Linked DNA regions of Rattus norvegicus. The main gene of each other region encodes a partner of the protein of the gene in region 5 in a complex. Links are inferred from orthologs where the notes say so. Each region holds a gene or a part of one and is shown on either strand. Other genes may lie near its edges. The genes, in order: Deptor, Fkbp3, Rheb, Rictor, Mtor and Rptor.

Region 1 (3,500 bases), on a different chromosome or scaffold from region 5:
CCAGCTCTTTCTTCAAAGTTCTTATATCTACATAGATATATGTTAAAACTCCAGGAGTCTGCCAGCCACCCTGCAGATGCAGGCTCCATTGAACTTGGTGTCCCTAACATACTGCACGCATCTCATTTACTAAACTTCATTCTTTTCCCTAATAAGTAACCTAGAAACATAAGAAGGCCGCCTCAAGCTCCGAGGAGTCAGACTGGGTAACTCTCCAGCGTACTCTCCATGGGCTGGGTCTCTTCCCTGCATCCTGTCACCTCCATTTTTCATTTAATCTCTACCTGAGCTAATTCTCTAAAGCAGGACTTCTCAACCTTTGGGGAATCAAATGAAGCTTTCATAGAGATCGCCTAGACCATCTGCATATCAGATATTTACATTACAATTAATAATGTAGCAAAACTACAGTTATGAAGTAGCAATGAGAATAATTTTATGGTTGGGGTCATCACAACATGAGGAACTGTATGTATCAAAGGGTCACAGCATTAGGGAGAATCACTGATTTAGAGTCTGGTTCACCCCTATACTAATCTCATTCATTTTTAAAATTTGTTTTGTTTTTAAAGACAGGGTCTTGCTTGCATGACATGTAGCCCAGGCTGGCCTCAAGCTCGCGGGAATCCTACCTCAGCCTCTAGTGCTGGGATTGCAGCTGTATCCAGCCACCATGCTTGCTTCATTTGAAAGTGAAATTAGATATAATAAACTCATAATAGAAAATCCTAAAGCCACAGAAGTGTCTGACAGACTTAAAGCTGAAAGATATACTACTTAGTATTATATTTTTTTAAAAAAATTTTTACCATTAACTTTATACATAAGAAAACTGGTTCAGAAAAGTTAATTTGTGCATTTCCAACAACCTGTAGCTAAAAACGTGGGTAGTAAAATTAGGGTCAAATTTAAGCATGGGTGCCAGGGCCGGTGTTTTTAGCAACTCTCATACTGTCCTGTGCTACGCTGTCTCAGAAACTCTGGAAGACAGCAGTGTGGAGTATTGTCTGTCTATTCTTAGCTCACTGCTGTTGCCTACCAGGCATCAGAGACAGCTGCCTGAAACTCCATTAGTAAAGAACTTCTCCCTCTCTCCTCTAGTAATGAATTTCCCTGACCAGTCTTTGATAATTTGGAACTGGAGAGGGGTTGTCCTAGCATCCCAGGACTGCTAGTCGGGATAGGGCATAGGGACCATTCTAGCAACAGTACACAGAGAGCAGAGATTTAAGTGAATGAGGAGTCAGGGCCAGGGTCTAATCTGGATAGATGACCACCTGCAGTTGCCTTTGGCAGCAGATTCACTCTGAGGTCAGTCACTAGTCCCCAACAAATGGGTAGCAGCAGTAGCAGCAAGGGGCAGGACTGTATGATGCCTCCCCTGGCAGCTGGGCCCACCTGCCGGGTGAGCCCCAGGCTCAAGAAGAGCCAAGAACTGCTTCTTGGGAAGGGGACAGATGTCTGGGATTAGAACGTTTGCTTTTCAGAAAGCTTTGAAGCCATGAGGGATGAGGTCAAATATCAAGGATATTTGAAGGATGAGGGAGTAGGTCAAATATCAAGAGGAGAAAGGCGTCTCTCGGGCCCCAAGGAGGAGGTAGGAAACGTGGTGAGTGTTTAAGCACTGAGACCTTAATGCTTAGCAGACAAGCTCTTCTCCAAGCCTGTGACTCCTCTGGGGTTATGAAATCGATGATATTTTTGGGAGCAGAGCTAGCCATTTACTTTTTCCTTTTATTGTGTTGAGACGCAGAGACTTTGAGACCCAGGGAATTATCCTGCGGATTCCCTCTCGCTCGTCACCATGACATGGACGATGGCAGCAGCGATGGCTTTGTTCTTTTGAGAGAGTGGTGAGGCCAGATATTTATATCAACTAGTAAATCTATATATAATCCTCACAGAGATGACTAATACTTCCATTTTTATTTATTAGAGAGTGTGTCTGTGAAAGAGTGAGGTAGAGTGAGAGAGAGACAGAGACAGACAGACACGAAGACAGACAGACACAGACACAGAGATGTTGAGATAGCGCATGTGTGGAGGTCAGAGAATTCTGTTCTTTCAGTTCTTCCTTCCATCTTTACAAAGGTTCTGGGGATTGAACTCAGGTTGTCAGATTTGCATGGAAAACCCTTTTATGTTCTAAGTTATCTTGCCAGCTTTATGATGGTTAAGTCTTCATGGAGGCTGATGAGTAGGTTTTGAAACTGCAAGATGCCGATGAATTCCAATAGGTGGGCTTGAATACACCCACTCTCTTCTTCCTTATGTATAAGAGGCACTGAGACCAAGTGGGATGGTACATGCCAGTAATCCCAGCATCTAGCAGTATAGCAAACAAACAAATGTGAGAGTGAGAGAGAGAGAGAGAGAGAGAGAGAGAGAGAGAGAGAGAGAGAGAGAGCAAGCACACAGTCCACAGAAATCCTTGATCACCATAGTCTAGGAAAGCATCTACAAGTTGCTGAAGCCCTTTTGAGAGGCAGAAGAACTTCTCTCAGCAGCTGGTCTTGGCTTCTGGTCTAGCTAGTGTTGGTCAGCCCTTGGCTGACATTGAGAGCTAGCTCTCAGAAGGCAGTTTTCGTGAGCAAAGTTATACCTTCCTTTCAGGGGCATGCATGTTGAACATAAAGGGTCAACATAAAGGCGCAGGGCATCCTGGCACTGGACTGCATTGTGGGTTAGCAGTAGCCTTCCAGGAGACTTTATCGGAGGCCATGTGCTAGTCTTTCTTAGCCAGCAATGGGTGCTAACTCAAGAGTATGCTTTTGTAAGATTCCCGCTCCTGTGATCTCTGCGTCCTAAGGAACTCCGCCAGCACACGACCCCAAGCCTCCCAGATAGGAGCATGGCCACCTTTTTGTCACTCACCAGATTTGGGGTTGCAGAGCACAGGGGGGCTGCTGCTGAGCGTCGGGCTGCTGCTGAAGTAGCCACTGCTGCCACAGCTGCTCATGCTGCTCCTCCGCACGGCAGACACAATCTTGATCTCCTTGCTGGGGCTGACTGTAGAGGGGGAGCAAGCACAGTGACTCTAGGAGTCCTAGAACTCCTGGGCTTTCAGCTGCAAAGCAAAAATCTCACGTCCAGTTCTGCCGCATACTCACAGACAGAGTAACTCAGGCCACCCCCTTTCAGTTTCCCGGACTGTAAAATGAAATAGTAATATGTCACGGGATGGGTGTGAGGCGAGGATCATATCATATTATGTATGTATATGTATCTCCCTCTCTGTCTCTCTTTTTAAAACAGGGCCCATAATGTAACCTATGCCTTGGAGTCCACACAACAGCATATCTTTTTTTTTTTTTTTTTTTTTTAAATCTTAACATCTTTTATGCGAGTGCAGCGGATCTAAACTCAGGTCAACCTATTTGGGCGTTAAGCACTTTACCAACTAGGGCCATCTCTCCTACAGGACATGAATTCAAGAATTACCAAACCTGGGCCTGGAGAGACGACTCAGAGGTTAAGAGCACTCACTGCCATTACAGAGG
Region 2 (4,170 bases), on a different chromosome or scaffold from region 5:
TTTAAATGTATTCTCAAACCTGGAGTGGTGGCTCTGGCCTGAGGTGATGTCTGGAGAATCATGAGGTCAAGGTTATCCTTGGTTACCAGAGTTGCTAGGCCAAGAGTAACATGAGTAAATAGAATGTAGTTTTTGCTCTTCTTCAAATGAGGTATCACTGTTAACCTGATACTACTACATACAATGTTAAGATACATAACTTTGTGATCCCAGGGCAAGCATCCATTGTGACCGTAAAATGATTGAATATTTAAACCTGAAGATGAGAGTAAAAGCAAAAGTAGAGTTAAATAATTAATATTTTTCTCCATTTATCCTGAGAAAATGCAGTCTCATGTTACAAATGGCAACTTTAATGTTTTGCCTGTCTAAAGAAAGTGAATGTAATCTGGCTCTGTATTGAGAAACTAAAACAAATTTTTGTCATGGTATTTCTTTTTCTGTTTCCCTCCGTATGTTCTTGTTTCACACAAAGGTCTTGCTCGGAGGCTCACTCTGGTCTGGAACTGAGCATGTAGATCAAAATGGTCTTGAGCTGGCCAATGTCCTGCCTCAGCTTGTAAAGGGCTATACAGGCTCCTGAGTGCTTCAGGCATACAGATTTAGAGCAGTAAGCGTTCTTGTGCAGTTCTGTTAGTCATAGCTTTCTGCTTTCAGACTTGGGTACCAGTACAATTTTAGTAAATCTCTGTTCCCTCAGTTACTGAAGCAAAGTACAAACACACGTAGCTCCTGCTGTATCGGAAAGATGTATTTTAAGTGTAGCTTAATTGCATTGTTTTATTCAAGCTTCTAAATTTGTAGGCAAAACTCTGTTGGGGGAGGTTTCCATTTAGTTTTGTGAAAATTGTTTGATGGACAAGTACTAAGTCAATTTAGATAAGATTAGAATAGAACTAGATAAAACGAAACAGAAAACTCGAATGCTGTTATTTTCTTTAAAGAGTTTACAATCTGTACTTTTAAAGACGTAGTAGGCCGTAAATAATAAACAGGTGGGGCTTAGAAAGCGTCAAAATAAGCTTTGACATCATCACTGCGTTCATCAGGCTAACCGACTACCACAGATCTTTCTACTCAACAAGGCTCTCACAACCCAGCCTTGACATCACCCTAGCCCACGTCTCAATCCCCTTTAGGACGACGGCGGCCCCGCCCCTGAGTTTCCCTGCAGGCCCCAAGAAGACTAAGAATGGCAGAAGTCCCGCCCCCTCGAGCATGGCGCATGCCCAGGCCACGCTTCAGGGGTGGGGCTGCGTAGAATATGTGGGCTGACTCAGCAAGGCATAGGACCCACCCCTAGAGCGTGGCGCAAACCCGGGCCACGCCCTGGGGGCGGGGCAGCGCCGGGCTGAGGCGGGCTGGCTCAGTGCAGCAGCAGCAGCGGGGGAAGATGGCGGCGGCTGTTCCGCAGCGTGCATGGACCGTGGAGCAGCTGCGCAGCGAGCAGCTGCCCAAGAAGGACATTATCAAGTTTCTGCAGGATCACGGTTCAGATTCGGTACCAAAGGCTTCTGGGCGGCCGGGCTGGGGCGTCCCGGGGCCACTTCACCCCCCCGGAGATGCCTTACATACCGGATTCCTCCGTGCCCCCGCCCTCGCCTTCTGTGGCCCGTGCTGGCCAGGCCCGAGCGGCCCGCGTGAGCTCCCACCCCTTGGGCCGCCCCAGTTTCTGCGGGGATCAGCCCTTGTTTCCTAGGCCAAGGAGCTGCGATCGTAGATTTAAATCTCAGTTGGGATCTGTGAGGGCCGAGGACCTGAGAAAAAGGAACCTTGAAATGTTGGCGTCTCAGGCGGGGGCGAGGAACGGGGAGTGCATGCTTCCCGGGCTCAGAGTGTGCTGGCCACTGGGAAATGGGAGGGGTGTAAAGCTGTGAGGGAGTCTCGTGTGCATCTTGTTTGTCTTACCAGTGTATTAAATACACTGGTCCTAAATACAATGAACTATAATCTGTGATTTTCAAAAACCCATGTATTAGTGTTTTAACTTTTTCGTTCCAAAGCCTTTTACAAAATACCTTAGGGGAATTAAATGCGAATTTTTAATATTGTGGTCTTCTATGATTATAAGCACGCAGATTTGAAAAATTCTAGTTGTATAATGCAGTTTTCAGCCTTGTCTGCATATTAGCCACCCATTTTGTAGTCACAGGATTATTTTGTTAGACTTTGACTTCTTGTCCTTCAGAAAGGGTCATTCATTCCGTCCACCCTCACCCCCCAACTCCTTAATGTGTTTTGGAGGCAGCATCTTACATAGCCCAGACTAGCCTCACACTCACCTCACATTCACCTCGAAAGTGCTAGGGATAACAGCCCTGCGCCATATATGTCCTGTTCCATACCTCAGCTAAATTGTTGAATGATGGTACACGTTGTGCACATATCTACTGTTCAGAAATAGAAAGTGCGGCCTAAATTAGGTTTTCCTACAGTTTTCCAGAATCTAAAATGTCAAAATAGTGAGTGTTGTGTGATTCCAAAGTGAAAATGAATTTGGTGACAGACATTTAAATGCGTATTTTCCAGTCATCATTCACCTATTCATGCCTGTGTTTTTAGAGTCCTGCTATTTCAGTTTAAAAAAGTTTCTGGGTTCCTTTGAAAAGATTGTTTTTTCACTTAAGATCTCGTTGGGAGATTCAGGAACTCTCACACATGGCATCAGGATATGGTTCAGCCCATATTTTGGAGCATGTGCAGTAACCTGGAGACCTGTGTTTGAATGAATACGCAAGGGTGAAAGGGAAAGACACCCTTGCAGATAGACCTGTATATCATTTTACTGGATAGTCTCTTAAGCCATTATAATTTTCAGCAGTAGAGTTAGGCATTTAATACCTGAATACTGTACTTCTCTAAGCTGTCTTTAAACAGCTTATTTATCCCACTGTAAAATGTAAAGTTTTTAATTTTTTCCCTTCTTTTAGACTCTTAGGCTACGCTGACCTGACTTGGACAATTTCAAGGGACTTGAAACAAATAACAGTTTTGTAATAATTTCTTTTCCCCAGTGATCATTCTCTTACCTAAATTAGTTGATGGTCATTATTTTTGTTAATCATAAAACATTAAATAGTTGTATTTTAGATATTTTTCTGGAATCTCAAAGAAATAACAAGAGTGTTGAAGTAACTGATTATTCTATATAACCAGCTTTTATCTCCTTTCAACAGTCCTTCATCAGTTAAAATCAGTTTTTTATAGTAGTAGAGGTCTTGGTGGTCTATGCCTTTAATCCTAGAGGCAGGTAGATCTGAGTTCCAGGTCAGCCTGGACTCCACAGTAAATTCTAGGCTGGGCAGGGTTACAAACAGAGAGGAAGGAGAGAAAAGGTAAAGACAGAAAAATGCAGTGGAGACAAAAACAAAAAGTAGCTTACAGAACTCTTTGGTGCAGGAGACAGCTTGAGAAAATAAGAAGATTTGGAGGTTCAGAACTTCCAAATACAGTAAAGGAAGGAGACTGGAATAAAGGGCTGGAGAAATGGCTTACAAGTGTGATGTTATGTTAGGATGCCCAGGACCACTCTGAAGCTGTAGGAGGGAGTATGTGCCTATACTCACAATGTCTCATGGGAAATGGAGACTAGAGAATCCTTGGAAGCTCTTAGGCCAGTGAGCCTGTAAGAAAGAACCTGTCTTAACATGGAGAGCAACGCCCGCATATGGAATTCTGACTTGAACATACCATGCATGCTTTTTGTGTGTCCATAGGCACTCACAAACACACAAAGGTGTTTTAAAAATTGGGTTTTTAAACACAAGGTTTTTAACCTTCACCAGATTTTAAGATGAACATACTATGAATTTATTGATTTTTTTTTTTTTTTTAACTTTTGTTGTTGCTTACTTTTTGCTTCTTGAGACAGTCTTACTGGGAACATAAAGTTGGCCCAGAGCTCTCCATCCTGACTCAGTCTTGAAGATGCTTTGTTATTTTACATTTATATTTATATATTGGCTTAATGTGTGTGGGCATGAGTGCCGTGACACTTGTGGAGTTCAGAGGACAACTTGTAAGAATCAGTTCTCTGGGTGTGGGCTCTGGGGATCAAATCCAGGCTTGTGCAATGTGACAGACTATTCCACATCAATTTATACTTCTGCTAATCTTGTACTGTAGAGAACCTGGGTCTTTTAGACCTTACTCTGTGTGTGTGTGTGTGGG
Region 3 (4,239 bases), on a different chromosome or scaffold from region 5:
GACATTGAGGTGACATGTCTGCAAAAATCTTCCCTACTGCAAATACCAGGAAAATACCACAGAAGAGAATTTTACTGTCCCATTTTAAACCCTTTTCATAGGTTTATCAATGTTTCAAAAACAAATGAAGGGGTTGGGGATTTAGCTCAGTGGTAGAGCGCTTGCCTAGGAAGCGCAAGGCCCCGGGTTCGGTCCCCAGCTCCGAAAAAAAAGAACCAAAAAAAACAAAAAACAAAAACAAAACAAAAACAACAACAACAACAAAAAAAAAAAACAAATGAAGACTTGAAAGCCACATTTCAGTGCTTACTGAAGCAAACTTAAAAGTCTGTGGCACGTCCAGTAACAATGCCCAGCAGTATAGTCAAAGCAGAAAACCATTTACTCAAAAGAACAGTATAAAAAGGCATGGTTTTGAATCAATCTCTCTCTCTCTCTCTCTCTCTCTCTCTCTCTCTCTCTCTCTCACACACACACACACACACACACACACACACACACACACCCTAGAAACACTGACATTTCTATACTAGGGCACTGAACATATCTCTTAGGTTCTGAGAAGTGGGTAATCCTGGCAGAGCGGCTAGTGCATGCAATCATGCTGGCAAAAGACCAACCCACTCCTCTGCAAAGAATCCTGAAACTATAAAATATTTCTGTTCATAGGAAAGCAAACTAAAGTCAAAGGAAACATTAGGAGTAACGTAGTATCTTACTTTAGGCATTACCCTTGCAAACAACTATGGAGAAAACAGGCTGTGTGACACATTGGGGGCATTGAAAATAGGCCTACAATCCTGTGCTCCTCCACCAGCTAGCACCACACTTCCAACCAGCAGCCTAGAGTGAACCTTTGTGGGGAGAAGTATAGGAGTAGCCAGGCACACCTATCCCTGCTCTAGTGGGGCTTTCACAGGAAGACCAGTCTAGGCTATACAGTGAGTCCAGGACTACCTGGGTTACATAAGACCTTGCCTAAAAAATCAGGATGGGTTTCTACTGACAGAAGTTCTATAGCCAAGGAGACATAACACCAAACTTATTTAAATCCAGTGCCATTCCAAAAATTACAAGAAAATAAAATCCAGACCTGTAGAATATTCTCACGGATTGATATGCCTTGCACATTCAAGATTACCATCTTCAATTAGTTAACACTCTGTATATTTATCTAATTAGAGGGTACTCAATCAACAGCCAAGTTACATCGTGGTCTCATTCTCCGAATTGGGGGGAAATTAAGAAACAGTCAACAGTATGGTGATCCAGACAACCAGCATCGGTTACCTCAACCAGGAGCTCCATAGTGGTGTTTAGTACATGGTCTCTTAGAGACACTGAAACCGTAATTTTGTGGATGTTAACTCTAGGGTTGCAACTGTTAAAGCAGTCACCTACTCTTTCCTAAGATAAACACCTCACTTAGCACCTTTCCACTCTAGGCACCTTCAACTCTCATACTGTCTCCAATCTTCCAACTCCTTCCTAAGGGGTTTCTCCAGACCTTGAGGAAAGATAGTGAAAGGATGAGTAAGCAGGCCCAGACTGATGTTGGTCAAAGAGCACAGACCCAGACACCAGCAGTGGAAAGCCGGGTGAGAACGCAGAATGAAAAGCCTACAGGAGTCCGTTCAGGGGCAGGCTTTCTACTGGCCACCTCCTTCGGCAACCAAACTCCCCACCTCCCACTCACTTCACCACATGTCAGTTGTCCCTGTCAAGCATACATTTTTCGGAGACAGTTACGGCTTTCAAACAGCACTTAAAGATGAACATGATGTTCTCGGGTTCCGGTCAAAGACAATAAAGCCTCGCCCTGCAACGTGGTCAAGTTCATACGTCCTGTTTCACATAAGAGACTGAATACTACTGTCTCGACACCTTGTACCTTCCCCACTCCACCCAGGCCCACCTCTATTCGGCAAAAAGATGACTACTAGGAGCAGCTTCAAATGTATGTCAATCGCTTGGTGGTGGTGTTGGGAAAACAAAAGGGCTTTTGAATTACTTTAACAGCCTGGTTCAAAGAGCCTGGCCTTGTTTCTTCTCAAAGGGGGAGAAAATAGGACACCGAGAGTTCGGAGATGTCTTTCTCGCCTTCCCTGTGCTGGCCGCCAGCTGCTACCTAGCGGGCCTATGAGGGGTCCAGTCTAGGTTTCTTGGAGGCGGAAAACTTGGTGGCCAAACATCTTGGAAGTTTCTCCGTTTTCTTTTAAAAGGTTTAATTTCTTTACAGATGGAAAGGTCACAGGGAGAGGTTTCCTTTGTTGAAATGCCCGGGGCTTGTGGGATTGGGGAAACGGGTGGGGATAGACCGTGCTCAGAGAAGGCGGGACAGACACGGGGATCCGACTAGACTGCTCCGGGCCGCAGGACCGGTGCAGTGGTCCGCAGCTCCTACGCCTAGAGAAGAACTCAGTCGCCTCGGCCTGCGGCCCCGCCACCTGTCCGTCGCGCCCGGGTACAGGGGAAGGCGCCGCCGCCTCCACTCAAAATGGAGGTTATGAAACGCGCGCCGCCCGCCCGCCCGCCCGCCCGCCACATGGCCGCGCCGCCACAAACTTCGCAGGCGCGTCCACGTCCTGGGGATCAGACCCCGGCATCACCGGGGCCGCCACTCACCCACAGACCGATAGCCCAGGATGGCGATCTTCCGGGACTTGGACTGAGGCATCTTGGTAGCCTGGTCAGCCCCGGCCCAACCACATCAACCGCAGCGGCGGCGACTCCTCCGGCTCAGACTATCGGCGGCGGGTGCGCCGGGGGAACGCGGCATACAGAGCGCGGCGGCGGGCGCGGCTGCCTCTTGCTCGCTCGTTCTCTAGCTCGCTCAACCGCCCGGAACCGAACGCGCGGGCCCTCCCCCAACAACACACCCACGTGACCGCGCGCGGCCGCGTCTGCGCCGCCTCCCGCCACCGCCTCCCAGCCCGGAACGCGCGGGGGTGCGTCGGGGGAACGTTTTACTTTAAAGGGAAAAAGCGGAGACGCCCGAAGGCCCCCGGAAAAGTCACGACCAAAACTCGCTGCGTCATGACCCTCCCACCTACTTCCGCCGCTTTTTAATTACGACAGTCTTTCCCGAGCTCTGACTGGACGGCTTCCAGACTGCCGCGCGATGACGCAATGGAAACTCCATCTTCTATTGGGGATTAGGAGGGGGTGGAGCCAAGGAGAGACACTGTTCAACCGGGAGCTAAAAATACAACCTGGCTGCTTTTGCTACGCGGGGCGCCTGCGTGATCCAAAAGCGTGGCCCTACGGGCGAGTGGGCGGGCGGACAACTCCCCAGTGATTGGCTGATATGGCGTGCGGGGGCGGAACCATAGGCGAGAAGCGCGGTCATTGGTGAAGTGACGAGCCGTTGGCCGACTTGCGCCTGCCGGCCCTTAAAAGGCGTGAGGCGCGTGGCCCTAGCTGACGGGCTGTAGGTTGGCTGTCACCTCTCTTCGTTCTTGTCTATACTTTAAATTACCGTCCTGCTATGTTAGCTTTAGTCTGGGCTTAGTGTGGGTGGTGACTAAGCTTTATTCGTGGCTGAGGAACTGTGGGAAGAATGGAATCTGTGCAGAACGCAAATGTCAGAGATTCCACTAAAAGCAGCGCGAGCTGGCCAGTCCTAGTGCGGACTCGGGCAACACGCTGGGCAGCGCGCACCTCGCATAGAAAGGCGCACTCGTGGGTATCCTGCAGCCAGATCAGCGCGTCTTTTCATACATAACAGTCGAGATGTTATTTCTGGAGAAACGTGAAAGTCAGCCATTGTCAAGAACGCTGAGGAAAAGCAGGCGGCTTCGCTGTCTGGTGTGGGCGGGCCATGCCTGAAAAGGGAAGGCTGTCATATTTTCTGCAACAGGCGTACTGGCACAGAGCCCTTGTTTCCGGAGAACTAGAGGATTGGGATGTCCTCATATTGAAGAACAGGAAGAAAAACTAGTCCCTAGGTCTAGTTCATGAAAGCCCAAGCTAGGCCTGGAAATAAAGGTGCCAAGAGCGTGAACAGCACGCTTGTCCTTAATTTCTTGTCCTTCACAATAGACCTGTTTTTATAAGGTCTCATGTAGTCCAGGCTGGCCTGGAATTCTTAAGAGATCCACCTGCCTCTGCCTCCAAAGTGCTGGGATTAAATGCTGCCCTGCTACCCTTGATCTTTCAATTCTGTCTTTGCCCAAGTGCTCTGATTTCCGGCTTCCAAACCATGTTTATTCAGTGCTAGGAATTGAACCCAGGATGAAC
Region 4 (3,934 bases), on a different chromosome or scaffold from region 5:
CTTACAATGCAGAACTATCTGACTTCGCAGTCAGTGTCTGATATGCCTGGATGTCTCTTTCACAGATCACTATGACCACGGTTGTCCACCTACACAGTAGACGTCACAAAACAATCTGCATGACAGCAAACCTTGCCTTAGCATAAAGCAAAACAAAACTTTAGCTGCTCAAACTTTTATCTGTTTCCGTATTGTAATCTAATCTACAAGCAGCTGCAACCCAGATGCCTCATGGGTCTGAAATCATTACTAAAGTTCAATTCCTCATGAACTTTCCTCATGTGTGATCCACAAGCTTTTAAACAATGAAGTGTCTGTTAAACAAACACTTTCTCTAATCAGCTGTCTCACTATATACGAGTCTAACTCGTAACTTTTTTCTGCTAAACTTCCTTATGGTTGAGGCCTACAGTTCTCAAATAACTTCTCGTTGTTGTGCATTGCTTTTGCAATCAGGTCAACTGGCTATGAATACGTATTTGGAACGCTAGTACATTTTATCAGGGCAAATGAAAACATTTTCTAAGCATTTTCTATAACCCTAGGAACAGCTATCTATATTATATTTATTACATAGATGTTTAAGTAAACAGTCTCAGAGAACTGATTCTTTTCAATCATACCCATAGATTTGTCTGAGTTAATATTTAAGCAAAGCAAGTTTCAAATAAGCTTTTCTACAATCCCAAATTCTGACACCACCACAGAAATGTATAAAGATTAACAAAATCACACACTACACAGTTTATCTCCAACCCCATATCTGAACAGGCTTTTACTGTACGCCAGGCTCAGGTTTACCTTGCAGTCTCTTCTCACAATTTCTTGAAATCACTGACCAACTACATGGTTAGAAAAGCACAATTCTGGGGCTGGAGAGATGGCTCAGTAGTTAAGAGCACTGTCTGCTCTTCCAGAGGACCTGAGTTCAATTCCCAGCAACCACATGGTGGCTCACAACCATCTGTAATGAGATCTGATGCCCTCTTCTGATGTGCCTGAAGATAGCAACACTGTACTCACATACATAAAATAAATAAAAATCTTTAAAAAGAGAGAGAGAAGCACAATGCTAAGTCTCAGATCTGTATTAGGATACTCAGAATGCTTGCTGGAAATTTTTCATATATATATATATTAAATTTACAAATTAAAAAAAGTCAAAAGCTTGACCTTTTTCTATACTGTTTCTCAAACCTAGCTAATAAAAAAAAGTTCCAAATCACCGATTTAACTAATTGCCATTTCTAGAACTTACACACCACTGTACTGTATCTTAAAAAAGTTTCTCACTTTGAAAGGACTAGTTTACTCAAAACTTCCTGAACTATCAGAAACAAATAACAAACATGTACTCATCTAACTAAATCAAAACTATAGTCTTTCAATCTACACCGGGCTCTTACAAAAACGGAAACAGAACTGAGAATGAATTATGCTGTCAATACAGAGATGGGTCTCCCAAAACCGACATCCACCATCCTTATACTTTATACGATGGTCACTACATACAAGGTGGGGGGGGAACAAATTTATGCCATGTGGAATGTTTACGAGTGTCTTTTCTTTTCACATCCTAAGGTGTTTTACGGAACTCGAAAAGTGATTCCGCACAGCAGAACTAGTTAGTTACACTCAACTACAACGCTGTGGGAAGTGACTGTCGAAATCTGTAGTCCAACTCCTGTTTATGGAAGAAGAGAAAAAAGAACTCCTTGCACAGAACTACTAATGCTTTGGCGAGATACTGTGGAATAAACACCAGTCTGGTGGCCGGTGACCCAAGCAAGAAACACCGATCACTCGGCGGAGACGGTTCTTAAAAATGCACGCCGGGCTTGCCCTGCAGAGAAGGTGTAAACAAACGCATCTCCACTGCAGACAGAAGGTACACAATGAACCTGCGGCAGTGAGGGGGCGGTCTCTAGCCAACTACAGCCCCAGCGGGCCCGGGAACGGGAAGCAGCAGGGAGACGCGGCATAAAGCAGACACTTAGCAGTAATCACCGGCTCTCGATTTCACCGCCGAGTTCGCAAAGCTGCGGGGCCCCCAGAGGACCGCGCGGGCAGAGAAGAGCAGTCACGCAGTCAGCAAGAAGCCGGCAGATCCAGCATCTGCTCCGGGGGACGGGGAGGGCAGGATGTGGTCGCTCTTCCCACAAACATCCTCCAGTAACCTAAATAACAACCTCTACCTCCCCTCGTCCGAGGCCGCCTCCGGGATTCGGGGGCCCGGGAGCGGACGGGGGGTGCAAACACGCTCCCGCGGGCGTACGCGCAGCCCCGGTCCTTGGGTGCACCTAGGTCCGCCCCGCGCTCCCGCGCTCCGGCAGCCGCCCCAGGCCCGGAGGGGCTCACCCGGGGGGAAACCGGCGCGGGGCAGGGGGATGGGCGCGGGCTCGGCCCCTCGCTGCCCCGCGGGTCGCGTGCCTGCCCGCCCCAGCCCCGGTGCACAGCGGCCCCGGTGCCCCGCGTTACCTCGGGTCAGATCCAGCGGGACGTTCTCCTCGCCGCTGTCATTCCGCCCTGTGCGAAACAGACACACAGCCCCAGTTAGGAACCATCGCAGGCCAGCGGCGCCCGACGCCCAGTTTGCTTCCCCCACCCCAGACCCCGGGCAAAGCCGAGCGCCGCGGCGGACAGCGAACACCGGGTGCGGAGAGCGAGGGCGGCAAGCGGGTTTACCTCGTATTCGGAGGTTCTTCAGAGAGCGGCCGCGGCCGATCGCCGCCATATTGACGGGTTTCAGTCACAACACCGGAAACCTCGCCCGATCGCGCGAGAACCCCTTCCCCTCCCCGCGCGCGGTTCCCGCCCCCCCCCACCTCCGCCCCCCGCGACAGCGCCCCCGCCCCTCGGCACGGAGGCTCGCCCGCGGGCGCGGAGCAACCAGGCGCCGACCCGGGGTGGGCTGCGACCCCGGCGCGCTGAGACCGGCAGGGTGTCGGAGCGCAGGCGTGGTGGGAGGCGCAGTTCCCACGGGGGATTCCCATTGATGTGGCTCGGGCCTCGGCGCGCGCGGCGGAGGCCGGGATGCGGGCGGGCCACCTGCTGGACCGCCCCGCTGCACTCCCCGCGTGGCTTTAAAGCCCGCTTCGTTACTCATCGGCTAAAATTATCATTATTTTTTATTATTATTAAAAGAGAGGGTGGGGTGGGGAGTGAGGCGCGCGGTGCACAGTTAGGAATGTGGCTTTGATCCTTTCCCAGAACCGCGGTGCTCCGAGTGAACACGTAACAAAGTTTGTTTTCCACCCACGCTCTGACCATTGAGCTAAGCGGCTTCGCGCTTGATCTTAGGCAAAGCTGCTCGCCGCCGGAGCGGGCGGCTGGGCGGAGGTTTGCTTTCGGGCTGCCTGGCATCGGACGTGCAAGGAGTGCAGAAGCGGGCGTGCAGGGCACTCGCCCGCGCGGGACTCTTCCCCAGCGCGCGCCAGCGCCCGGAGGCCCCAGACAGGGTTTCTTCTCCACCCGGAGCCTAGGGAGGAGGCTGAGCGCCTGGTCCTGGCTTTCTGTTACTCCTACATCACTGACTAATGCGGATGCGTTGGATAGATGTTTTTAATGCATACAAGTAAAAGTGATTAGCTTACGAGTTTCTAGAAGCGGTTTATTACGTACTCATTTGGCCCTTCTCTCTTAAACTAGATTACTTTAGTGAGAGGGTATTTTGTCTCCTCCAATTCCTCACCTCTCTATTCCAGACTTCAAAGTAAGTGGAAAGTGGAGATCTTGCCTTAACCACTTCGTTTTTTCAGTACAGACGTCAAAAACAAAGATCTATTGGCGTAAACCTTCTGCTCCTTCTGCCCTAATAGTGTTGTAAACAATAGTAATGTTCTCAATAGAAACAAGCAGACCAAACCCCCTCTAAAACCACAAAGAGAAACAAATATTGGAAAGGCTCCCCTTGTTAATAATAGTGAACAATTGT
Region 5 (3,500 bases):
ACTTTTGTTTAACCTAGCTCTAATGCTTACAACATACCACCTCTGAGGCAAATGCCACTACCACCTCTGCTTGACAGCCACATAAAACATAAAGAAATTAAGCAATGTGTCAAATGTCACACAGCAAAGGCAAGAAGGGAGGGCAGGTGTCTTGTTGCCATATTTAGGACTCTTTCTGTGACATACATTTCATTGGCAGCAGCCATCAGCACAGACTCAGGGCACTGGAGCAGAGGAACTGGCCTCTGGACATTAGTGGCAACCAGGTTACTGATTCAGAAACACCCACTCCTGTCTTTTGACAACCACTGATAAGAAGCTTCTTGCTCCAGCTTCCCAAATGCTGGATTATAGAGGTGTGCCGACACAGCCTCTGACTGACACACTTCTATTCTTGGGGATGCATAAAATAATGGTGTGACTACTAAAGTGCTTTGCTCGCAGCTACTGTGGAGTCATCTCCTCACCCTGTACCACTGAGGCTTCTGCATCTCCTTCGGCTCCCGCTGCGTGGTAAGAATCAGACAGGCACGAAGGGCAGCCACAGCTCCTTCACGGATGGCCTGCTTGGGGTCCCACACAGCCACAAAAATGTTGTCAAAGAAGGGCTGAACTTGCTGGAAGAAGAAGGTGGGGACGCTGATGGCCAGCTCACGGAGAACGAGGACCTGGGAGAGAAGGGCAAACAGAACTCTTACTCCTACCAGGACTCTTGTTCTCTCAGGATACTCCCTGTCATCCTAGAGCATCTCCCTACAAGGAAAAAAAAAGTCTGGTGCCAGGAGAGGCAAAGGAAGACCGACCAAGCACCTCAGTGCTCAGCGCAGAATGCTGGCGCCATCTAAACCCACTCAGGACCCACAGGAATTTGACACTTTAACAGCAAACCAACAAGTCGAGAACCATGCCTGCCATTAGGTAGTCAATAAATAGCTACTGGGCAAAAACATGATGTTCAATTTTGTTAATATTTTCATGTCAGAGAAGACTGGTGTCTTCAGTTAAGGCAGCCAAGCTACAAAGTTGTGACTGACAGAGCCGTTAACCAGGGTGGATGCTCCTTCCTTAACCTGGGGAGCAGCTGGGAGAGCTCTATCCTGGGCCCCCCTGCCAGGGCTTTTCTCCACCTCCAGTCTGGAGCCCTTTTCCCAGGACAAGCTCCACACACGGCGGGGGTGGGGTTGGGGGTAGAGTTAGGGGGACGGGGGCGCTGCTCCTCGCCCTGGCTGGGCTCAGCCCTGTGGGAACTCACAGCTGCATGTCTCCGGCCCTCATTTCGGTCAGCACCCAGCCACTCCAAGGCTCGCTTCACTTCAAACTCCACATACTCAGCAGTGAAAGTGTCCCCTGCCATTGCAAGGCGGCCAATGGCCTTGGATGCCATCTCCATGACAACTGGATCACTTGAGGGGAGGAGGTTCCGAAGGTAGTTGGCAAATCTGCCAATCCTGGTGGAATTCCCACCTTCCACTCCAATGAGGCTGGCTAGAAAAGAAGCAGAGGTGACCATGTGGCGTGTTCTGAAATGCATGTGGCCGGAGCTGCACGCGGACGGGTGAGTGAGGCCCTACTCTGCTCTCAGTACGTTTCTACATGGAAGAAGGCAGGTTTTCATTCAAACCAGCAGACTGGATTTTTGTTCTGGAACTGTATATGTCAATCAAAATGATCTCATTCTAACCTATCTGTACATCTTATCCTTAAGGCTGAATGGCAATTCACAGGACCAGCGGCCAGCCCTTGGGCAAACAGGGCATTTCTACTTTTGCATCCATGAACCCCACTGTGCCAAACCCTGCTCTACTGTGATCAGACCTGCCGAAGGCCACCTAGGGCAGAAGAATGAGGAGCTGGCTTCTAGTCTCGCCCCTGGCAAATTGGCCACAGAGGTCACCAGTTCTGAGACTCAGTTGTCACACGTAACAGCGCACTTTGCGTGTGTCCCAGGACTTCTGCTAGAATTAGTACTTGTCTACTTGCACCCTGTCTATGGGTGCCTTAAAACTCTTTGAAACTATAGATGAACAGATACTGCTACTCTTTAGCAAGCGCAGACAGAGTACAGTAAGCACCAAGTTGATTTGTCCAGTGTCCTTACAGGTGCTGCTACCAGAGGCTGTCCTTACCAATGGCCAAGATGCCACCCTTCCTCTCATTGGCGTCTGAGCTGGAAACCAGTTCAAAAATGTGATGGTTCAGCTGGTCATAGAAGCGAGTAGACTCCTCCTGACTCATCTGCAGGGGAAGATGTGCACAGACAGATTTGTGTATTTGTAGGGATGAAGATTCGGATGGAGAGGGGGCAGGCACAGTTCAAACCAAAGACAAGGTTATAGCCCATTTCCACAGCCTTAAAGTGAAAGGCAGCTGATCACATGACTCCTGCTTATTTAACAACAGCTCACTGATTCTCTACTCTACAGCAGAAAAGAGCTTGTCTTAAAATCACCCTAACACCAGGGGCACACAGGTCAGTATCTCTGACCTCAACTATGGTCTGTTTGGAAAGTTTCAGACTTATCAACTCTCCAGATCCACCCCAACCACTGTCAGAGACAGAGAACCAAGGGGCTGGTGATAGGAAAGAAATCATACAAAATAAACAGCTGACCTGAGACCAGAACATGTTACAGAAATGTGCAGTCCTTGCAAAGGAACCTGCACCCTCCACGGACCTGGAAGCTAGTGTCCTCTCAAATGCTGGGCCTCAGTGGCGACCTAAACCAGAGGTGGCACACCAGCCACGATCCCCCAGGACCGGCCCCGAAGCACCACAGACCAACCTCTCGAAGTTCCATGGTGACATAGTGCTGGAGCTCCTTGGCTGCTTTGGCCCTGGTCTCCTCATTCCGGCTCTTCAGCCCACTGGCGAACTGCTGCAGAACGCTCACGTTGCTAGATGTGGCGGCACCGGCGGTGGCCGTGGCAGGGCCTGTCCCAAGCATCTTGCCCTGAGGTTCTTTGGGGAAGAACATCTTTCAATTTTTTACAGGCTATTTGAACCTGTTTCTAGTTATGGTGTAGCTCAGCCTTTAGCACACACCTTTAATCCCTCGGGCTGGAATACAGACACACCCTCAGTAGTTCGTACTTCTACTTTACTTGAAGTGAGTACTTTTAAAGTACTAAAGTGAGTACTTTAACTCTAAACAATGAAGGGTAAGTTAGTTTGAGAGTGATGTCAAACTAATTGAAAGACAGATTAAAGTAACAAATCAAAGAAAGATCTGACAGAATAAGATATGCCCAACTCTCACCAGAAGAGAGGAAAAGGAGTCTACTCTAGGGAAAGACAGTCCAGGAGGAAGAGTACAGTCTAGGAATACAGTAGAGTTCATGGAGAAAGTGCAGTGGAGTGAGGGAGGGCAGAGCAGCACAGAGGGAGAGGGAGAGGGAGATTCACAGAAACAGACTGAAGAGAGAACAAGCTAGACACAGGTAAAGACAGAATGAGGAGACAGAAGATTAGAACGGATTGCTAGAGTTAGTTCGAGGCCAAG
Region 6 (4,291 bases), on a different chromosome or scaffold from region 5:
TACAGTGGTACACATCTGTAATCCTAACACTTGGGAGGTGGATGAACCAGGCCAAGGCCATTCTGACTAAACACCAAGCTGGCCTGCACTACATAAAGCCCTGTCTCCAAAGAGAGAAACATTTTAAATTAAAAGTTCAAAAGATATCCATTGATGTGATTTCAATAGTTTGAGTACAGGTTTGGATAGCAAAAGGAACCACATTCTGGGTTCAGTCCCCAGCTCCGAAAAAAAGAAAAAAAAAAAAAAAAGGAACCACATTCAAAAGGAGGAAAAAAAAATTTTAAATAAAAACTGGACAAAATAGGACTGGGGAGGGGGGAAAGGGAGAGAGTTGCTATATATAAACATTACAACCAAAAAGAAAATGTTATTTTGTTAGTACTAGACATGTCTATAAAACAGACATTATGCAGTCTCTCTCAACCATCAGTTCTATAACTTATATTGCTTCTATTCTTCTTGTTTAAGACAGGGTCTGCACTTTGTAGTCCAGGCTGGCCTTGACTTGTGATTCTCCTGCTTTAAGCTCCAGAGTGTTGGGATTACAGGACTGACTGACCTTTGCCCAACCTAAACTGCTTTTCACTGAAGGAAATTTTCATAACTTTAATCCCAGCACTCAGTAGGCAAAGGCAGGCAGATCTCTGAGTTCAAGGCCAACCTAGTCTACAGATTGAGTTTCTCGACAGCCAGGGATGTTACAGAGAAACCCTGTCTCAAACAACAACAACATCAGCAACAAAAATTGATAGCCTTGTAAAATTTACCCAAACTGAAACACTGGTCCCTGCTAGAACTACATTGAGTATTCATCAATATACACCTTTTTAAAACAACTGTCTCAAGTAAAAGCATATCAACTATAACAAATGACACATTATAACACCAACTTCCTCTTTTATACTGAAAAGTTCACACAAATGTACAAAGTCAGGAAGGAGAAAACAACTAAGCACTCAAAGGATGAGTGTGCAGACAAGAGACAGTACTCCCCTTTTGCTAGATCAGGAACTGACCGCTACATCTGGCTGTTTTCTTTGCTACAACTACTCATGACACTCCACCGGCAGGAGAACGGCCTAAAACCTGAACCCAGGTTCCAACCCATCATACCCCATGCTCCCAAATTTCCCACTGAGGAAATATCTCCAGGTTACAGCGACCAGAAGTCACATACTAGGGGAGTCAGCCTCCCACGGAAGATGTTCAAAGGACTGGGATGAAACTTGCTGCAACTTTAAAATAACTTTGCCTTAATTTGTTATTGGCTAAACATTTCAAGTAATCGTTTCCCAACATACTGTACCAGACACCTGTACTTCAACCTGGTTATTTGGAAAAAAAAAAAAACAAAAAACAAAAAAACAGCAGATACAAAAATAGACTAAGCACGACGTTAAGTGTTATTTCCAAAATTGTCTTTTCTCTAAATGCTACTAAGTGTATTAAAAGGCACATAAATATCTGTGGAACAACAGTTCCTAATTTGCTTTTTCCACCCTCTGAATTAAAACTCTTTTGAATTAACACTACCCAGTGAGTATCGACTAGCCCTACCCACTTTCAACCAAAACCAGAGTCTGGAATAACTTTTAGTTTTTAATTAACGTGCAACATGTGGCTTCAAAATACCAGCATTCTTCTAGGAGAGGCTGTTCTTGCTCAGAACTTTCTTAGTTGGAAAACTATGAACTCAAAAAGATGCCATGAGAATCTACTTACCCGATCCTTCATTCTCCAGCTCTGTGCTAAAGATTTGGAGCCTTCAATTTTCTCACAATGTCTCTTTTTCATAAACGCCAAAGGCAAGTTCCAATCTGTAAGGTCTGCCTCATCTTCCTCCCCGAGTCCCATAAGAGGCGACTGCAGCATCTCCGACTCCATCAGGGGAGGAGGGGGAGGGGGAGTCCTTGGCAGCAAGCGCTCGAGAACCTCCAGCCTTAAAAACTAGTGTGTACCAGAACTGGTAAAAGGAAATACAGGAAAGCGGGAAGTTGGGAATAGAGATGACGGCAGAGTGCACGAAGGTCCTTATTCAGGTAAAAACTCGGAGATCTTTATCTCGAACTCTGAGCGGGAAGTCGGAGAGGGCGGGGTGGGGTGGGGTGAAGAATCGGTGGGTAACCAACCCCGCAGCCCCAGGAGCTGCGCCGACACTCGCGCCCAGTCGCAAGCCACCCGCAGCCCAGGAGGTCGTCTGGAGGACTGCAAGCCGGACTGTCAGAGGCGGGAAAGACTTCAGGCCCGGGGATGACCCTGCTCTCGGCCTCCAACGCCTCAGTGGATCCCAGGGCAGGCAGGCCGTCCCGCTCGCAGTGCGGGTTCTCTGATTGCGCTGGCTCGGCTGAGGCGTCAGGGGATCGCGCTCAGGGGGCTTCGGGGCTCGTCCAGCGGCTCTCAGCCCTGCGGGTCCCGCACTCGCCTGAGGGGCTGCAACCTGAGCCAGGACCGGCCCATCGTGCCCGTCCGCAGTCGGCTCCTCAGCCCCGGGTCCGCGCGGCCTGGCCGGTGCTGGCCTTCGGCTTCGTGGCTCTCTCCTGCCCGGGAACGAGTCCTGATACACGCGCGACACGGGCCAGCGGACCACACGGGAATACTGGGCTTATTAGGTCAGGGGAGTTTTGCCCTCTGCTCTGGAGCCACAGTGAAAACTCCTCTCATCAGCACATCAAGGAGGACGCCATATTACCAAGGCCCAGCATGCACCGCTGTCTACGGTGTGTCCAATAAGCCAAACCTCTTCAAGCGTTCTCACCGCTCTACCCAGGCTAGGGCGGAGAGTTCGGCGTTCCGTCCTCCCCTCCCCCACGCCGTTACCCGGGTTACCAAGTCCTTTCTCCTTAGTTGATCTCCACTAGTAAAGTAGACGTGTTACAAAATCAATCCTGCGATTGAAACCATGTCCGTTCAGTTATTTTTTAAAAGCTTTTTGCTACTACAAACAAAGCTGCGTGCCTTGATATTAAAGGAAAAAAAAAAATCACTTTGTTTCGTCCTGATTTTAAAGGGTGCTATTTAAAAAAAACCTCAGAAAGGACTGTTGTTGATATTAGACACATAACACTATCAGGGCTTTGTTTTTAATATTCCCACTTTTAAAAAGGGAAAGATTTCATCGATTATGAATTAATTTTGTCTGATCTACCTTATTTCCTGAGTATTATACTCTTATTTTGCTACAGCTTCATGTGCAAACGACTAAGGCTGCTGCTGTCTGCCCACGGAAGCAAGCCTCCTGCCCTGCCTTACTTCTCTGTTTCAATTCAGTAAATCTCAGTTATTGACACACCCTGAGAACTGCTTTGGTGCAGTGGGGATATAAAGTAAACGTAACATGTGCCAGCCTTTCATAACCAGGGTGCTAGTGAGACACTCTTAACCTTTAGCTAGATTTCAGGCAGACGAAGGAGCCCATCTTCAGCTTTGGTGTTGGAGGCATCTCTGTTAGAGTCAGTGTTACTAATTTCAAGCTGTATTTTCTCAGCCTTAGGTTCCTGAACCATAAAGTTTGGATAATAATATTAAAGAATATTACTGAAAGGATAAAATTAGCTTGTGAAGATGCCCAGGCCACCCTAAGCTACAAAATAAGACCCTGTCTTTAAAGAAAAAAAAATCCCCTTTAAGAACAGGGTTGAAAGGTGGGCCCAGTGTTTAATCTCATTACTCTGGAGGCAGAGGCAGGAAGATCTCTTAGTTGGAGGCCAACCTGGTCTACGAAGCTAGTAGTTCCATGAGAACCAGGGCTACACAGAGAAACCCTGCCATGAAAAACAAAAACAACAAACAAACAAGATGCCAAGACATAGCAGGCCACCAATGAGAGTGAACTCTGACTGGTCCCACCACTCTAAAGTAGTCTACCAACTGTATGCCTTACCACTAAAGCCTGGATTAGCCTTCCAAAGATGTGTTCCTCAGAGTAGATAGAGAGTTGGACATAAAGTGGCAGTCCCTACCACAATCCTAGTAGCATCTGAGCTGCTTTCAGCCGGAGAGTTCAGGCTGCATCTCTCTCACCAGTATGTGGGAAGTGTTTCCTGTAGCTCTCTGTTCAGTTATCATCCCAAGAATTCCTGTGGTTACAGTATCACACAGAGCCCATTATCCTCCTAGTCTCGGAGCAGTGCTCCAAAATAGTGTCCCCATCACCACCAGCCCCTCCCCATCACCACCAGCAGGGGCTTCAGGACTTCCGGGATGTCTAGAAGAAATCCCAGCATCTCCTGCTTCCACCTTGTCCCTCTACTTTATTTTGTAGTTCTGATGCCCACAGGTGCCGTCCCCA

The links.
Region 1: the proteins of Mtor (region 5) and Deptor are in contact, whole or in part, in a cryo-EM structure (PDB 7PEC), measured with the Homo sapiens proteins. The link is inferred for Rattus norvegicus from reciprocal best matches to the Homo sapiens genes MTOR and DEPTOR. Residues at the interface, in NP_001373429.1 of Homo sapiens: Met304, Gly305, Phe306, His1494, Cys1498, Trp1501, Gln1525, Asp1527, Ser1528, Glu1530, Glu1531, Cys1534, Met1535, Ile1536, Arg1538, Arg1547, Gln1554, Leu1556, Leu1559, Gln1562, Cys1563, Lys1566, Arg1683, Leu1685, Asp1686, His1687, Lys1710, Ile1711, Phe1714, Gln1715; in NP_073620.2 of Homo sapiens: Arg54, His56, Leu57, Lys58, Thr59, Tyr60, Pro61, Val101, Arg116, Lys119, Asp121, Gly122, Thr123, Phe124, Lys131, Ala132, Arg135, Arg138, Lys142, Glu177, Gly178, Glu179, Glu185, Cys304, Asn305, Lys307, Gly335, Asp336, Ala337, Val338.
Region 2: the proteins of Mtor (region 5) and Fkbp3 are in contact, whole or in part, in a crystal structure (PDB 5GPG), measured with the Homo sapiens proteins. The link is inferred for Rattus norvegicus from reciprocal best matches to the Homo sapiens genes MTOR and FKBP3. Residues at the interface, in NP_001373429.1 of Homo sapiens: Glu2032, Tyr2038, Phe2039, Gly2040, Arg2042, Tyr2088, Val2094, Leu2097, Tyr2105, His2106, Arg2109; in NP_002004.1 of Homo sapiens: Lys160, Pro161, Leu162, Ser163, Lys170, Tyr198, Lys201, Gly202, Gln203, Pro204, Asp205, Ala206.
Region 3: the proteins of Mtor (region 5) and Rheb are in contact, whole or in part, in a cryo-EM structure (PDB 6BCU), measured with the Homo sapiens proteins. The link is inferred for Rattus norvegicus from reciprocal best matches to the Homo sapiens genes MTOR and RHEB. Residues at the interface, in NP_001373429.1 of Homo sapiens: Arg62, His69, Glu73, Ala101, Thr102, Ile104, Gly105, Arg106, Asn109, Tyr110, Arg112, Asn113, Phe140, Glu143, Tyr144, Phe147, Glu154, Arg160, Thr969, Gln973, Phe977, Lys980, Glu1010, Phe1011, Gln1014, Met1018, Ser1050, Thr1051, Asn1264, Lys1293; in NP_005605.1 of Homo sapiens: Lys5, Ser6, Arg7, Lys8, Arg15, Pro37, Ile39, Glu40, Thr42, Gln57, Ala62, Asp65, Tyr67, Ile69, Gln72, Thr73, Ser75, Ile76, Asp77, Asn79, Asp105, Met106, Val107, Gly108, Lys109, Val110, Ile112.
Region 4: the proteins of Mtor (region 5) and Rictor are in contact, whole or in part, in a cryo-EM structure (PDB 6ZWM), measured with the Homo sapiens proteins. The link is inferred for Rattus norvegicus from reciprocal best matches to the Homo sapiens genes MTOR and RICTOR. Residues at the interface, in NP_001373429.1 of Homo sapiens: Arg1028, Asp1032, Lys1068, Leu1069, Asp1108, Asp1109, Tyr1110, Asp1150, Lys1187, Asn1196, Val1200, Gln1207, Asp1210, Val1211, Cys1214, Arg1215, Lys1218, Gly1219, Tyr1220, Thr1221, Leu1222, Ala1223, Glu1226, Glu1227, Asp1228, Leu1230, Ile1231, His1234, Arg1235, Arg1238; in NP_689969.2 of Homo sapiens: Leu204, Arg205, Gly206, Asn209, Arg245, Asp247, Val248, Glu249, Glu251, Arg252, Leu254, Thr258, Asp259, Phe260, His261, Tyr262, Arg263, His264, Ser265, Pro266, Asn306, Gly308, Ser311, Gly314, Val315, Cys317, Ile318, Pro319, Glu345, Ile347.
Region 6: the proteins of Mtor (region 5) and Rptor are in contact, whole or in part, in a cryo-EM structure (PDB 6BCU), measured with the Homo sapiens proteins. The link is inferred for Rattus norvegicus from reciprocal best matches to the Homo sapiens genes MTOR and RPTOR. Residues at the interface, in NP_001373429.1 of Homo sapiens: His597, Thr600, Pro632, Val644, Ser645, Gln646, Thr647, Ala648, Val649, Ala653, His686, Ala688, Gln689, Glu691, Met721, Asn722, Pro723, Ala724, Phe725, Met727, Pro728, Phe729, Arg731, Lys732, Leu734, Ile735, Leu738, Thr739, His743, Tyr771; in NP_065812.1 of Homo sapiens: Phe278, Lys282, Cys283, Ser285, Leu286, Pro288, Gln380, Ala381, Asp383, Leu384, Asp387, Glu411, Gln412, Thr414, Ala415, Val418, Trp419, Thr421, Met422, Arg427, Asn428, Glu431, Gln432, Lys973, Ile974, Asp979, Leu980, Glu981, Ser982, Lys986.

What each region holds. Positions count from the first base shown.
Region 1 is NC_086025.1:88,512,745-88,516,244, reverse strand, and holds part of Deptor (DEP domain containing MTOR-interacting protein), read right to left. Parts: intron 3,010-3,500; coding exon 2,875-3,009; intron 1-2,874. UniProt on the Homo sapiens protein: Negative regulator of the mTORC1 and mTORC2 complexes: inhibits the protein kinase activity of MTOR, thereby inactivating both complexes. DEPTOR inhibits mTORC1 and mTORC2 to induce autophagy.
Region 2 is NC_086024.1:88,858,953-88,863,122, reverse strand, and holds the start of Fkbp3 (peptidyl-prolyl cis-trans isomerase FKBP3), read left to right. Parts: upstream 1-1,370; 5' UTR 1,371-1,393; coding exon 1,394-1,501; intron 1,502-4,170. UniProt on the Homo sapiens protein: FK506- and rapamycin-binding proteins (FKBPs) constitute a family of receptors for the two immunosuppressants which inhibit T-cell proliferation by arresting two distinct cytoplasmic signal transmission pathways. PPIases accelerate the folding of proteins.
Region 3 is NC_086022.1:11,011,944-11,016,182, reverse strand, and holds the start of Rheb (GTP-binding protein Rheb), read right to left. Parts: upstream 2,801-4,239; 5' UTR 2,678-2,800; coding exon 2,626-2,677; intron 1-2,625. UniProt on the Homo sapiens protein: Small GTPase that acts as an allosteric activator of the canonical mTORC1 complex, an evolutionarily conserved central nutrient sensor that stimulates anabolic reactions and macromolecule biosynthesis to promote cellular biomass generation and growth.
Region 4 is NC_086020.1:57,538,145-57,542,078, reverse strand, and holds the start of Rictor (rapamycin-insensitive companion of mTOR), read right to left. Parts: upstream 2,801-3,934; 5' UTR 2,735-2,800; coding exon 2,686-2,734; intron 2,527-2,685; coding exon 2,479-2,526; intron 1-2,478. UniProt on the Homo sapiens protein: Component of the mechanistic target of rapamycin complex 2 (mTORC2), which transduces signals from growth factors to pathways involved in proliferation, cytoskeletal organization, lipogenesis and anabolic output.
Region 5 is NC_086023.1:164,170,985-164,174,484, reverse strand, and holds part of Mtor (serine/threonine-protein kinase mTOR), read right to left. Parts: intron 2,960-3,500; 5' UTR 2,946-2,959; coding exon 2,784-2,945; intron 2,236-2,783; coding exon 2,127-2,235; intron 1,486-2,126; coding exon 1,253-1,485; intron 669-1,252; coding exon 468-668; intron 1-467. UniProt on the Homo sapiens protein: Serine/threonine protein kinase which is a central regulator of cellular metabolism, growth and survival in response to hormones, growth factors, nutrients, energy and stress signals.
Region 6 is NC_086028.1:105,375,452-105,379,742, reverse strand, and holds the start of Rptor (regulatory-associated protein of mTOR), read right to left. Parts: upstream 2,801-4,291; 5' UTR 1,888-2,800; coding exon 1,726-1,887; intron 1-1,725. UniProt on the Homo sapiens protein: Component of the mechanistic target of rapamycin complex 1 (mTORC1), an evolutionarily conserved central nutrient sensor that stimulates anabolic reactions and macromolecule biosynthesis to promote cellular biomass generation and growth.